Struthio camelus: one gene and its partner. The protein of the gene in region 1 interacts with the protein of each later gene in a biochemical or structural test. Links are inferred from orthologs where the notes say so. Each region holds a gene or a part of one and is shown in the gene's direction. Other genes may lie near its edges.

The links. The genes of interacting proteins can lie anywhere in the genome.
Region 2: the proteins of ARFIP1 (region 1) and ARF3 form a complex in vitro, tested with the Homo sapiens proteins (2 studies listed by BioGRID). The link is inferred for Struthio camelus from reciprocal best matches to the Homo sapiens genes ARFIP1 and ARF3.

The regions. Positions count from the first base shown.
Region 1 is NC_090945.1:38,491,669-38,499,634, forward strand, and holds the start of ARFIP1 (arfaptin-1), read left to right. Parts: upstream 1-4,958; 5' UTR 4,959-5,142; intron 5,143-7,966. Other genes in the region: TIGD4 (tigger transposable element-derived protein 4), read right to left, coding at 2,551-4,098. UniProt on the Homo sapiens protein: Plays a role in controlling biogenesis of secretory granules at the trans-Golgi network. Mechanistically, binds ARF-GTP at the neck of a growing secretory granule precursor and forms a protective scaffold.
Region 2 is NC_090969.1:994,638-1,001,910, forward strand, and holds the start of ARF3 (ADP-ribosylation factor 3), read left to right. Parts: upstream 1-4,268; 5' UTR 4,269-4,380; intron 4,381-5,639; exon of another isoform or gene 5,640-5,642; 5' UTR 5,643-5,684; coding exon 5,685-5,832; intron 5,833-6,043; coding exon 6,044-6,154; intron 6,155-6,261; coding exon 6,262-6,386; intron 6,387-7,187; coding exon 7,188-7,273.

The DNA.
Region 1 (7,966 bases):
GTTCTCCAATTCTGTATTCAACAATAAATGTAAACAAAATCCAAGTGAGAAGAAATATTTGGGCTCCTAAATAATTTTGAAAGTTTTAGTATTAGCATACAAAGTGGCTGGCGTAAAAAAAATAATTTTAGTGAGTGCATTTTAGCTTGCCTTTTCAGAAGGAAATAGGAGGCAAGAAAAAAAGTAATATCTTCCGTAAAAGACAAGGATTCTCTTGCCAGCTTGTTTGTTTGTTTTATAAAGCAAATTCCACAATTCACCTGCAAAGTCCAGGTGAATTCTTCCTTTTATTTCCACGAGCGAGTGAGTATTACAGCACTCAGTAAATATCCAGGAATTCAATTCCTTACTCATCAGCTCACTAGGTTATATCAGATCTCCTGGTCTTGGAAGCTGCACCATGCAGAGACTACAGATCTTGCAGATTAAACCCTTGCTTAACTCAGTTTTGCTGCTCACTTAGGCAAGCCTCTCTCAGGAGATCAGCACATCACGCTCCGAATTCCCTTAGAGGGAAATCCAGTGTCTCCTTCTTGGGATCCCAGGCTGATCAGGTCCACTTAGAGTGCAATCTTAAGGCATAAAGGAATTTGCTATATGGATAATAGAAATAGGAACACACTATTTTACTTTTCCCTAAATTTACCTTTAGCAAGAGAAACCACTGGTTAGAAAAATATGGGCTTTGAATCGTAAGATTAGTGGGGAAAATTAGCCATAGGGTTCTATGGGATTTATACAAACTTAAAATAAGTTTAGCCAAAAACAAACAAACAAACAAACTTTTCAAAAGCTTGATCTACATTATTTAAGCAAGTGACATTTAGTGATTGTTTTCTGACACAGCTTCTGAATTTAAAAAAGTTTGTATCTGTATTTTCATACAATAGTCAGCTAATGGAGAGGGATACCTCTTTCACAGAATCTATAAATCTCTGGGTAGGGCTTTATTTATTTAAATTTCAAAAGAGGCATCTCATCAGAGTATGTTCTGGATGGAATTCACATTAGATGTTTTATAACAGGAAACCACAATATGATTTTTTTAGAGATTCTAGTAAAACATTCATACACTTTAGCCATAGGTATTTTCTCACATAGAAATTTGTATTTTCACTGTCTTACAGTATTTTGATAAAATGTTTTCTGAAAAGCAAATTGATAAACTGTCCTCTACCAGGAAAGTAACCAAAGCTATAGCCAAGCCATTTATAGAAAACTAAACATTCAAATAGGCAAGAGATTGCTTCTCATGGCCTAGCCCCATAATGGATACTTTTATTACACGGATTTCCTAAAGGGCTTCTGTAAAACATCTTATTCTTCCTCTAAATTAGAAAAATGAACATCTCTAACTTTCGAAAAGCTAAAATTGGTAGATATGGAAAATATTTAAAAGAGGCTAAAATGTATAAGGTTTTGAAAGAGATCACTAACAGTAGGCCTCATATGCATTCAGATTTTTGGCTATGGTACATTGATTGAAACACATACTTGATGACTTGCGAATGTACTATGATTTACTTCATTTCAAAAGGCATTAATAAAAAAACCCCTCTGTTAAAAGTGTTTCTAATAGTAAACTGCATTGGTGCATAGAATTCTGCAGCAAAGTCTTCATGCTATACAGCACTGCACAAGAATGAAGACAGGTTTAAGTACTTTGTTTATTACTAGCTATAGTAAATACAGCAAGACCTTAATAAGTTGTCAAGTGCAGATATTGCATAATCTAATATTTGTTCCTATTTACTGCAGAAATATATAGAGTTGTACAGAAGAGCCTAAAGAAATCCAAATGTCAAAAAGGCTGAAATGGAGAAGCGTGACCTTCCTTTTTGATCCCTTTTGGGAAAATAACCCTTCGAAGAACAAATAAAGTCTTGCTTGTCTTTTGATTCTTTGATAAATGATTATGCCACTTATGTATATCCACACAAGAGCAGCTTTAAGAAAATAAAACACATTCAAAGCTGCTAACTTCCTCTGTTCATCACTCAAGAATAACCTATAGCTGGGATTGTTGAACAAGTACAAGAAAATTCTTCTTAAAAAAAGCCCTTAGCTTTCAGGACTCAAGTGTCAATTTTCTGTGTTATTCAATTTTTTGTGTAAGTATCAAAAGCATCAAGCTCATAAATATTTACTGTTATACTGTAAATAATACCAAAGATACTAGTGCAAGTATCCACGTGAAGAAGTGCTAACCTCTTCATGGACACAGAATTTCAAGTGGGCACTAGCTCAGCCAGAGTGCACAGAAGAACTTGTAAGAGTCATTTTGGTGTCTGTTGTACCTACTACAGTTATCATATTAAACGTTCAAGTTATTTCCTCTCTCCACCTGAAAGTCTATTTTCTTTCCTCCTAATTTTTGGAAGGCTTCAGTTCACAGCCTTTTTTTGTAATTTCAAATGTCAATTATTATGTACAGCTAGGCACCCAAGCAAGATACACTAGAGAACTTTGCAGCAACACTTTTTATAAGCTGCCGTATTTGTGTTTGCTTAAATAATTCCTTTTTTCCATTACATGTTTTGTTAACAATATTTATTTACATTCTACATGTTGAATAAAATCCTCCAGGTCAGCAAGGGAATTACGAAGAGAATCATTCGCATCTTGACTCCTGAGAAACCTTCGAAGGGTATCTAAAGCGCTCAGAGCCTCATTTTTTGATGGCAAAGGCTGTTCGGCTGCCAGAGATGCATCACCTTCATCACCACCTTCATCATCAACAGATGTCCCAGCTTGATCTGAAGTGCTTTTTTTGGCACTTTGAAACATCCTTTCATTATTTGCAGGCATTTCACAAATTGCCAGACCATCATCCAGAACTGCATATTCCTCCAAAGATAAACCTGCTGGAAACTCTACTCCTGCTGCCAGTGCATGTGCAATCAAGTCAAAATCACTTTCAACCTCTGTGTCATTATTACCATTTTTCTCAGTTTCTATCTTGAATCCTGCTTCACTGTAACTTTTAACAATAGTCTCTGGTGTGACTTGACTCCAACACAGGTGCAACATCTCAACCGCATCAAGAAGAGTCAGCATAAACTCTTTACTTCCTATTACACAGTCAACAAATCTCTTGAAAAGACAGTGCCTGTATTTAACTTTCAAGCTTCTGATAACCCCTTGTTTCATAGCTATACATGAAGAAGCGTCTGGAGGAAAGAACACTAAATCAATAGCCTTCAGATGCTTTACCTCTGAGTGCGCTGGGAGAGGATCAACAAAAATAACGACTCGTCGCTGCTGTGCTTGAAATCTCTCATCAAGTTTATGCATCCACTGTTCAAACACTTCTGAAGTCATCCAGGCCCTACCATTTGCTTCATAATCCACCGGTAGCGACTTCACATCTTTGAAACTGCACGGACTTCTGTTTTTTCCGATAACAAGCAAAGGAAGCTTCTCGGAGCCATCCATATTCGTGCCAACCACAACAGTTATTCTCTCTTGGCTTAGCTTACCAACAGAACACGTTTCCCCTTTAAATGAAAATGTATTATTAGGTAGCATCTGATACAACAGCCCAGTCTCCTTTACATTAAACACGTTTTTTGGCTGATAGTCATTCAAATAGTAAGGAAGAACATTTTGGTACCAAAGAGTCAAAGCGTCCACCGTAGCAGTTGCAGCTGCTCCTACCGGCTGAGCTCTGAATACTAACCCATACCTTGACTTGAAACGGTCAAGCCAGCCGTTGCTGCACTTAAAATCACCATGGCCAAGCTTCTGGGCAAAATCGTTCGCTTTGAGGCGCAACATAGGACCATTTACCGGCACATTCAAGCACTGAGCGATTCTGTACCACTTCATTAATGCCTCCTCCAGATCGGTGTAAAAAGCAGTCCGCAGTCTTTTCCTTTTAGGATCAAATCCCAAAGATTCAAAGGCTTCCAAAACTTTCTCTTTATTCTTCATAATTGAAGACAACGAGTTCTTCTTTATGCCGTACTTTGCTGCCACGTCTGCCTTTCTCTTGCCACTCTCCACCGCGCTGATGATGTCAATTTTCTCCTCGATAGATATGCTTTTTTTTTTCCTTCCCGCGGGCAGTGGCGAAGGGCTCCCCGGTGCCTCGGCCATGGTGCTCCGCGTCGCCTCGCGGATGCGCACGTACGCGCCCCGCTCTGTCGCTTTGGGATATCAGCGGCTTTAATTAGACGGATGCATCCTGATGTCACGGGCATCGCACTTGGCAGAGTCTTCGCGTTTACAAGTGGCACGTAACTACCGACTCGGTGAATTTTAACTCCGTGCATGCCTTTGGACGGGAAAAGGATTTGCGCGCCCCGCTCGAGGACGGCTGAGGCGAGGAGGCCTGGCAGCGCGCCTGTGGGGCGGCTACGGGGCGGGGGGGGGGTGAGTCTCCGCTCACAGAAGCGGGAAAAGGAATGAGAAGTGAACCTAGAGCCTGAACGTTTTGCGGATTTATTTTATTGTATTTTATTTATTTCCCCCTGGATTCACATCCCCCCCCCCCAGTTCGCCTGCCGTCGCTCCCTCTCCCGGTGTACCGCGCCTCTTTCAGGTCGCGCACGAGAGAGGGAGGACAACAGGCACGGCAGGTCACGCCGCCGTGCTGGACGTGTGCCTGCCGCCTCCAGCGCCGCCGGCCACCCGCACCCAGCCGGCCAGGGCTGATGGCCCAGGGCCCCCCACAGCCCCGGGCTGCCGCCCCCAGCCGCCGCCTGAGCGAGAAATGAAAATACAGGCGGAACCGAGCCGGGCGGCGGAACCCGGCGCAGAGGGAGGCGCTGCCGGGGGGGAAGGCGCACCGGGCGGGAGGCGGGGCGGAGGGGGAAGGTGAGGCGCGGTGGCCCCGGATGTTGTTGCTAAGGTTACCGCTTGGCCGGGGGTGGGGGGGGGGAGCGAGCATAGACACGCTCCTCGTGGGCTAGAGAGGCGAACGCGTGTCCCCAGCGGGGCCACCGTCGGCCGTACTTCCGGCCAAGTACTTCCGGCTCCAGCTGGAACCGGAGAAGGAAGAAAATAAAGCTCGAGACGGGGCCCGTCCTGCTCGCCCGCCCGGTTTTCCTTCCTTCCTTCCTTCCCTCCCTCCCTCCCTCTCCCCCCCCTCCCCTCTTCCCCAGCGCGAGGCACCCGCAACGGCAGCAGCGCCGCCCGCAGGTGAGGGCGGGCGCAGCACAGGGGGCGCCGGGCCGGGCCGTTGGGCCGGGGGCGGCGGTTGGGCCCGGCGCGCGCCGCCCCTACGTGTCCCTGGGCCCGCCGGCCTCCGCCCGCCGGTGCCGGCGGCAGCGCGGGTGCGGTGTGGGGCCGTCGCAGCGCAGCGCAGCGCAGCGGGGCGGGAGCGCGGCGCTGCTGGGCGCCGGCTCCCGGCCCCGAGAGGGCAGGCGGGGCCTGAGCCCGCGAGAAGGTGGGTTTCGAGGGAGGAAAAAAGCGGGGAGGGAAGAAGCTTTACAAGCTGTGTACGTTTCAGGCTCCCAAGACTTAGGCCACCCCCTTAGACTTACTGTGTTACGTGTTCAGATTTGTGTTTTGCCGCCAGCTTACTGTGCTTAATTCACTAGCAAAGCGTGGAAACACCAGGGTGTTGTGCAGCAAGCAGGTGTTGTGTCTGTCATTGCTTGCAGCCGATAAGCAATTCTGCTGGTTACTTAGAGTGCATCTTTGATCTATGCCTTTTAACTCGAGCCAGTTCATAGCCTTTCATCTCACTTTCCCTGGACTGGATGTAGTTTCAGTGCCTAGCATGTTCTTTTTATGCTTAGTGGAGCTGGTAACAAGGCCTTGTCATTTGCTGTCACCGGCTTTGTTATCTGTATAGTGGTTCACTAGAAAGATACGTAAGGGTCTTTTGCAGGGCTTTTGCAGGGTCTTTGCACACTGCAGAAGGATGCAGTGTGATCAGTGTGGCACCAAGGCTTACAACTGTGATACATCCACTTTGTTGTATTTCTGTATATATGCATGCATGCACGCACATATTTAACGTGTAAGAAATAGATAACACGGAGGAACATTACATTGGAAAAAGTGGAAGCTAAGGTAATGTCTTGATCACTTGGCTCTATCTGTTTTCATAGAGGTCATAACTGGAGCCTTAGTTAATCTGGAGAGGAGCAGAGTGTTAAAAAGGTTAGGGACAGATTGGCCTGGGGTAGGGACTGTGGATATTAGTTATGGCCTTGACCCTGATCTTCCTCTCTGTGGTGCCTTGTAACTCTCATAGCAGCATCGTTAGCTCTTATAAGCGTAACTGAAGCAATGGAATAAATTGACATATGAATAGTTATTTCAAAAGTGAAATATGAGAGAATCTCATTCTGTAAAGTAGACTTTGGTGGGTTTTTTTGCTTTTTATCCTTCCTGTACCTAACAACAACCAAAAAAGCCACTTATGTTGATTGCCTATAGGAGCAGCAAGGGAATTGCAAGAGTATGAAGAGGAAACCGTGCTGTGATTTGCAGCAGAAAGTGTGTAATGTAGTTCTTTTAAATTCTTAAAAAAAAGAACTTGATCTTGGCAAAACCTAGTATTCTTCTTGGTAGGCTATAAATCAAAATTTAAAAAGTATGTATTAAATCATTATTCTCCATCAGTACTTACACTGGCTGCAAAGTTGCAAAACTTGTCTTGGTTCTGCAGGCAGCGGAGTAAGAAGACAATAATATAAGCGTATAATAAATGTTATTTGGACAGAAGTTATCTGGATTTTACCTTATTAGCAACTCCCTTCTCAACAGAAAACCTTAAGTGAAGAAGCCAAGGCATCCTGCTTAGAAAGGCAGAAGTACTGTTGAAAATCCATTTCAGTCCTGAGACTGAGGTAGACATTCACTTAGGTAATACAACTACATTAAGAATAAACCCTTTATTTAAAAGAAATTTGTTGCTGATATCATGTTTAAATCATAAATGGACCTAATTCCTAAGCATGCTTATATAACCACTTATTATAATTGGTTAAATGTCACCAAAATCTTCATCCTAGTTGAACCTTTGCTTGTTGTTTATAGTTTGTTTCTTACTTTGTCAGTTGAAGAAGTGATATGTAACCTCCCAGCATTTAAAAAAATCATGCGCGTTTGTTTATGCCTTGCAGAACTTAAAATGAGTGAGGGTGCAGTCTGATATGCGTTTAAGTTGGCACTCCTTTGGGATGTTGTTGGGAGGTGGAAGAATCTCACTCTATTCTCTACTATTTCTTCCTGTTCTACTCTGGTACGTGTATTTGTTTGGCTTTGAGGTGAGCTGAGTAGAGAACTGATCTAGTTAAAAAAATAAACAATTAAAGTTATCCAGTGGAGTAGGAATGATGAGAACAGGATGGATTCTGCTTTTTGGTCAGGGTTATTGGCTTTAATTCGTATCAGAATATAGGTCAATCACTTTCTTCCAAGTAGAACAACTCTGAGCTGTTTTCTGTGAGAGTATTAAGAAATCTACCTTCTTTACGATCTTGTCAATGAGGGATGAATTGGCTATTGACTCAGAAGAGTAATGTGAAAGAGTAGAATTGCTGAGACATTCTGTAAACTTAGTATCTCTTTGGGTCAGAGCTCCTTTCAAGTCCTCAAAAGCTCTATCAAGAAAGATGGTGAAAGAAAGACGAAAATCTCTTTGCTGCAAGAGATGGGCAAGATTCCTTCAAAATCCTTTTTGAAAACAACCCTTGCCAAACTTTCTAGTCCTGTGTCAGTCATGGATGCTATATTCAGTTCTTAGAATTGCAAAGTACTTGTTCAGTGCTCTTCTGGATGCCTGTATTCTGGGCTTGATACTGCTGGCTGGTCTCTTTAAAGAGGACTGACTTGTAACATATGTTCTTGGTTGTTACTAGGGAAACTTCCATCAGAGCAGGTGAGAAGATGTAATTTTCTTTGTTTTCGACAGGCTCATCTATCATTTATTTTGAACTATGTTCTTGTAGTTCTTCCCGGAAGGAAAGTAACTTCTTGTTTCTTGTAGCTTTTAAAGTAAATATTTAAA
Region 2 (7,273 bases), on another chromosome or scaffold:
AAAGCCGGGCTGGGCTGGGGGGGGACACAGGGCCGGGACTGTTGTGGGGAGAGGGTCCCCACCTCGGGGGTGGCAGCAGGGACTGAGGCAGGAGCTTCCCCCCGCCCCGAGAGGGCTGTGCTCATTCCCGCCTGTGCCCCTGCCGTGCCTTCTTCCCCCCCCCCCCACACAGCTGGGAGCCCTCGGTCTCTGCGTGTGGCCATGGGTGGCGATGGGGCCCTGGCCCCATGGGGAGCTCAGCCCCGCGTCCTCCATCCCTCCGCCGGACGCGGGCACGCTCCCAGGCATGCGTCCCACCTGCAGGCGCCCCCGCCGCCCCCGGCACAGCATCGTGGGGGGCAGCCAGGGCCCCGCCGGACGCCGGGGCCCCGCTGGGAGCGGGGCTCAGCCGTGCGCGCTGAGCTGAGACCCCGCAGCTCATTGCAGGTGCAGGCAGGGACGGGCGGCCGCACGCTCGGCGCTGGCACCTGCTCCGCCCCGGCCGCCCCCCACCGCCGCCTCCCGGCCGCGGGGGCCGCTGCCCCGGGGGGGCGGCCGGGGCCGGGCGGCGGCGGCGGCGGCCGGGCCAGGCTCTCGCCGCGCCCTCCCGCCGCCGCCCCGGAGCGGCTCCCGGGGCTGAGGTCAGCGGCCGCCGGGAGGCCCCGGGGCGCGGCCGGGAGGGTCTTGGCCGGGGCCGTGTCACCAGCGGCGGGGGCCGAAACGCGACCCCCTACCCCCCCCCGCCAATATCCACCCCCCACCGGAGAGTCCCCGGCGAGCGCTGGCCCCCGCTCCACCGGGCGGCCGGGGCTCCCGGGCGCCCCGCGCAGCTGCGCCCGGAGCGGGCCAAGAGCTGACACAACGGGCGGCCCCTCACCGCCGCCCCCGGCCCCCTGCGCCCCTCCGCCGCTGGGCGCAGCCTCTGCCCGGTCGCCGCAGTGCGCCTCTCGCCCGGTGCCTCCGGGCGCCTCCCGTCCACCCCCCCCCCCGCCCGGACCCCCCGCACCCTCCCCGGTGTCCCCGGGACCGGCGCATCCCCGCCTGGTGCCCCCCGCTCCTCCCCGGTGTCCCCGGGACCGGGGGCACCCCCGCCCGCTCCTCCCCGGTGTCCTCGGGACCGGGGGCACCCCCGTCCGATGCCTCCCCGGTGTTCCCGGGACCGGGCGCACCCCCGCCCGCTCCTCCCCGGTGTTCCCGGGACCGGGGGCACCCCCGTCCGATGCCTCCCCGGTGTTCCCGGGACCGGGGGCACCCCCGCCCGCTCCTCCCCGGTGTTCCCGGGACCGGGGGCACCCCCGTCCGATGCCTCCCCGGTGTCCCCGGGACCGGGCGCACCCCCGCCCGCTCCCCCCGCCCGCTCCCCCCGCCCGCTCCCCGGTGTCCCCGGGACCAGGCGCACCCCCGCCCAGTGCCCCCCGCACCCTCCCCGGTGTCCCCGCTCGCCGCCGCACCCTCCCCGGGGCGCCCCTCTGCTTTCCCCGGGGGAAGCGGGGGGCACCGGGCGGACACCGGGCGGGCACCGGGCGGGCCGTGCCCCGGGGAATCGCGGCCCCGCCGCCTCGGGCCGGCCGAGCCGGGGCCCGCGGCAGCGCGGAGCGGCTCTGGCAGCCGTCGGGGCGGCCGGTGCCCCCGGTGCGCCCGGCCTTACCTGCCAGGGGCGGAGAGGCGGGGGCTGTCCGGGGGCGGGCCGGGGCCGGGACCGGGGCCGGGCCGGCTCCGCACCGAGCAGGCGGAGAAGGGGCGGCCCGGGGCGGCGGAGCGGGGCTGGGCCGGGAGCGGAGGCGAGGGGGGGCGGCGGCCCCGGGGCAGGGCCGGCGGGCCGGGCAGCCGGGGGGGGGGCTGCCCACCGGACGGGGCGGACAGGAGGACACCTGGGCGGCTGCAGGGGGGGGATGTGCCCGTGGGACGGGGCCTCGTGGGGGGGGACGAGAGGGGACGGGGGCAGCCAGGGAGGCCCTGGGGGTCCCGCCGGGCCCTCACCCACCACCTGCCTTTGCCTCTGCGGTGGGTAGGTCAGGGGGGGCTTGGGTGCCTGGGTCCCTCCTCCTGCCCCAGGAGAGGAGTGGGGCCGGGTGGGCTCAATAAGGGGGGTCTCGGCTTGGCTGGGGGCAAGGGAATGAGGTCTGGGTTAGGGCACCCTGGGCCCGGGACGCTTTGGCGGGGAGCGCGTGTCCCTCCTGCTCCTTCAGCGTTGGGTTTTTCCCGCGCAGCCCCGCTGCTGCCCGCCACTGCAGTGCAAACTGCTGGCTCCAGCCCCAGGGGAGCGGGGTCCCCCAGGACCAGTCGGTGGCAGTGACCCCCAAGGACCCCCACAGCCAACCGGGCAGGGCCTGCGCACCCCACAGCGTGGGTGCTGGGTGGGCACGTGTCCCGCACACGTGTGTGCTCCCCACTGCCAGTGGCGCTGTGGGGGGCTGGGGCCCCGGACGACTGGGTCCTCTCACAAGCACCCCGCTCCTGCCCCATGGCTCAGGGCAAGGAGGTGCCGGAGCTGGAGGTGCTGAGTGCACCCGGCACCCAGCACCAGTGAGGATCCAGCTGGGAACAGGCCGCATGCGGCAGCCTCGGCCCTGCGAGGTGCCCAGCCCCGTGGAAGCACTGGTGCTGGGCCGGCTGCAGCCTGGCTGGCCGGGGCAGTGCTGAAGGCCATGCAGTGCAGGGTGTCCCCAGGGCTCCCCCGTGCAGTGCAGATGTGGGCCGTGCAGTGTGGTGCATGGGGCTGTGCAATGCAGGGGTGCTGTGCAGTGTGGAGGGGCTGTGCAATGCACAGGCGTGCACCGCACTGCAGGGTTGTGCAGTGCACGAGGGCTGTGCAGTGTGGTGCAGGGGGTTGTGCTATGCACAGGGGTGTGCACCACAGTGCACAGGGTTGTGCAGTGCACGAGGGCTGTGCAGTGCGGTGCAGGGGGTTGTGCTATGCACAGGGGTGTGCACCACAGTGCACAGGGTTGTGCAGTGCACGAGGGCTGTGCAGTGCGGTGCAGGGGGTTGTGCTATGCACAGGGGTGTGCACCACAGTGCACAGGGTTGTGCAGTGCACGGGGGCTGTGCAGTGTGGTGTAGGGGGTTGTACTATGCACAGGGGTGTGCACCGCAGTGCACAGGGTTGTGCAGTGCACGGGGGCTGTGCAGTGTGGTGCAGGGGGTTGTGCTATGCACAGGGGTGTGCACCACAGTGCACAGGGTTGTGCAGTGCACGGGGGCTGTGCAGTGTGGTGCAGGGGGTTGTACTATGCACAGGGGTGTGCACCGCAGTGCACAGGGTTGTGCAGTGCACGGGGCTGTGCAGTGTGGTGTGTGGGGCTGCGCAGTGCACAGGGCCGTGCAGTGTAGTGCAGGGGGCCGTGCAGTGTGGTGCAGAGGGCTGTGCAATGCAGGGTGTCCCCATCTGGGACTCTGCAGCCCCCCCCACCGCACACCCTGCTGGGGCACCCCAAACGCAGTGCGGGCGCACTTCGTGGGTGCGCCCGGACACTCCGGACCCCGCACCCACCCCGCACACCCGCTGCACCTTGTCTATGCACCCCCACCGGGGTATGGGGGATCCCCCCAGACCAATTGCGCACCCCACCATCTGCACCCCCATCACGTTCCTCGCCCTGTGCACCCTCTCTGCTGCGCCCCCGGCACCCCATCATGCATCACACGTTTGCGCACCACCGTCAGAGAACCCCCCCCAGCTTCTCGCAGCCCCATCACGGACATCAGTCCTGTGCACCGCTGCCTCCTGCACTGCAGCCCCCTGCATGCAGCCCCCTGCATCCCAGCTGCATGCACCCCTGCCCTGCAAACCCTCATCGGTGCACCCCAGCACCATGCACCCCCATCGTGGACCCCAGCCCCCGGCACCCACACCTGGGTACCCCAGCCTGGAGCACCCCAGCCTCATGCAACCCCGCCGTGCATCCTACCCCGCCGTGCATGCCCCACATGCACCCTAGCCTCATGCGCCCTAGCCCCCACGCACGCCCATTGCGCACCCCAGCCCCATGCACCCTCATCGCACACCCCAGCCCCATGCACCCCCCTCACGCACCCCTGCCCCATGCACCCCCATCGTGCACCCCACCTCCTTCCCCCCGTGCACCCCAGCCCCATGCATCCCCATCGTGCGCCCCACCTCCATGCACCCCCGTGCACCCCAGCCCCGCGCACCCCCCCGGGTGCACCCCCACCCCCCGCACTGCTGCAGCCGCTGCCATGGCAACGGCTCGCGGCTCTCGCGAGCTCCGCACCCCCCCGCGCCCCCGGGCCCGGTACGGGCGACGCGGGGGGGGGGGGGTGGAACGGGCGCTCTCGCGAGATCCGTGCGCGCTCGGGCCTCCGCTTCCGGCCGGCGGGACGCGGTGCAGAGTCAGCTGGGGGCGGCGGGGCGCGCACCGGCACCGGCACCGGCACCAGGTGCGCGGCGGCGGGGGGGGGGGCGCGTCCACGCGCGAGGGCATCGCGCGGGGGCGCGGCCGCTGCAGCGTGGGGAGCCGTGCAAGGGAGGGAGGGCTGCATCGCACCGGGGGCGGGGGGGTGGGGGGGCTGCACGGGGTGCGATGCATTGGCGGGTGCGTTGCACCGGGGCAGCGGTGCATTGGGGAGGGAGTCTGCATTGCACCCGGGGGAGGGGGGGGGATTGCACCGGGGGAGGGGCTGGGCAAGGCTTTGGGGGGGGGGTGCGGTGCACCGGGGGAGGGGGCATTGCACGGGGGAGGCGGGAGATGCACTGCACCGAGAGGGGGATGCGGTGCACCGAGGGGGAACGTGCGGTGAATTTGGGGGATGCACTGCATGGAGGGGGCACGTTGCGCGGGGGTGTGTGTGCAATGCATTGGGGGGGGGGAATGCATCGGGGTTGCATTTCAGTCCGGGGGGGGAATGAGGTGCAAGCCGGGGGGGTGCATCGTACCGGGGGTGGGGGGTGCAAGGCGCTGGCGTGTGCATTGCACCGGGGGGAGGAGTGCAGTGCGTTGGAGGGGTGCAGCGCGATCCGGAGGGGGCTTTGCATCCGAAGGAGGGTGCCAGGAACAGGGCGGGGGGGCCATGCAGGGCGGGGGAATGCCTGCCTTGTGGGGGTCCCACGGGGCTGGGGGGGCTCCACCGGTGCCCCGGGGCTGGCTGGGGGCAGTGGCGCTGCTGGGCCCAGGAACCGGGGCTGCCCCTTACTGGTGGTGCTGGGGACACCCCGCTGCCTCTTTGGGGGGGCGGGTAGGGCTGGGGGCTGGGCTGTACCCCCCCCCCGCAAGAGCAGGAGGTGGGGAAGGGTCAGCAACCAGGACGCCTGGGTTCCCCTGCCAGCGCCGTGCCTCGGTTTCCCCTCCGCGGGGTGCCATGCCTGGGATGCCCCTCTGCAGGCTGCAGCACAAGGGGGGGCCCTGCCGCCCCCAGGGTCCCCGGAGCAGGGCCTGGAGCCCTGCAACCCCCCCCAGCATGTGAGGGGTCCGCGAGCCCTGCACCCCCCCCAGGGTATGGGGGGGTCCCCAAACCCTGCAGCCCCCTGGGGCATGGGGGATCCCTGAGCCTTGCACCCCCCCAGGGTGTGGGAGGTCCACAAGCCCTGCAGCCCCCTGGGGTGTGGGGGATCCCTGAGCCCTGCAGCCCCCCCCAGGACACGTGGCCACCCCCAGCCCCACTGCTGGCCCCCGCGGCCCAGCGCTCGCCCTGCACCCCCGCAGGATTCGGCCTTGCCTCCGGACGGAGCCAGCACCGCCGGCACCATGGGCAACATCTTTGGGAACCTGCTGAAGAGCCTCATAGGGAAGAAGGAGATGAGGATCCTCATGGTGGGGCTGGACGCCGCCGGCAAGACCACCATCCTCTACAAGCTGAAGCTGGGCGAGATCGTCACCACCATCCCCACCATAGGTGTGCGGGGAGGAGGGGGACGCGCCGGGGTCCCCTGCCCATGGTAGGGGTCTGCTCCTCCCTGCCTCGGTTTCCCCACCCGGGCGGCCCTAAGGGCAGGAGGAGCCGAGCTGGGACGTGGGGACGGAGGGAGGTGGCCGCGCGGACGCCGGGGAGCGCGTGTGGGGCGGCCGCCTGGGCCTCAGTTTCCCTCCGCTGTCGCTCCCCGCAGGCTTCAACGTGGAGACGGTGGAGTACAAGAACATCAGCTTCACCGTGTGGGACGTGGGTGGGCAGGACAAGATCCGGCCCCTCTGGCGGCATTACTTCCAAAACACCCAGGGTAGGTCCCCGCAGGGCGGGGGGCCAGGCCGGGGGCCCCCCGGGGGCTGGGGCAGCCCCGGGGCGGCACCGTCCTGCCCCCCAGCGCCGTGGGCTCCGTCCCCCCAGGGCTGATCTTCGTGGTGGACAGCAACGACCGGGAGCGGGTGAACGAGGCGCGCGAGGAGCTCATGCGGATGCTGGCGGAGGACGAGCTGCGGGACGCTGTGCTCCTGGTCTTCGCTAACAAGCAGGTGGGGCTGGAGCGGGGGCGGGACTCAGCCGTGCCCGTCCCCGTGGCGTCGGGGCTGGGGTTTCACAGGCTCCGTGTTGGGGCCATACTCATCCCCGTGGCATCGGGACCGTGCCCATCCATGTGGCGTCGGGGCTGGGAGCTAACAGCCCCATCATGGCCCTGTCCATCCCTGTGACCTCAGGCCTGGGGTATAGTGGCCCCCGCAATGGGGTCGTGCCCATCCCCATGGCATTGGGGCTGGAGTTTTGTAGCCCCTGTGGCGTCAGGCCTGTGCCCATCCCTGCGGCATTGGGTCTCGGGTTTAGCAACCCACATAGTGGGGCTGTGCCTGTCCCTGCGGCACCAGGGCTGGGGGTTAGCAGCCCCGACGGTGGGGCCATGCCCATCCCCATGGCGTCAGGGCTGGGATGCAGCAGCCCCTGTGGCGTGACCACGCTCATCCCCATGGCACTGAGGATGGGATTTCGCAGCGCTCCCCCCCCCACCACCATCAGGACCCTGCCCATCCCCATGGCATCAGGGCTGGGATTTTGCAGCCCCCTCCAGTATCAGGGCTGAGCTTTAGCAGCCCCCGTGGCAGGGCCGTGCCCATCCCCGCGGCGTTGGGGCTGCGGTTTAGGAGCCCCCGTGATGCGGCCACGCTTGTCCCCGCGGCGGCGTGGCTGGCGGTTCAGCTGCCTCCCCACCCCCGGCGGCGCGGCCGTGCCCATCCCCACGGCGTCGGGGCTGGGGGGGGGGGTTATCAGCGGCCGCCGCGGCGTGTCCGAGCCCGGCGCGCGACGCCCGTCTCTGCCCCCAGGACCTGCCCAACGCCATGAACGCGGCGGAGATCACGGACAAGCTGGGGCTGCACTCCTTGCGCCACCGTAACTGGTACATCCAGGC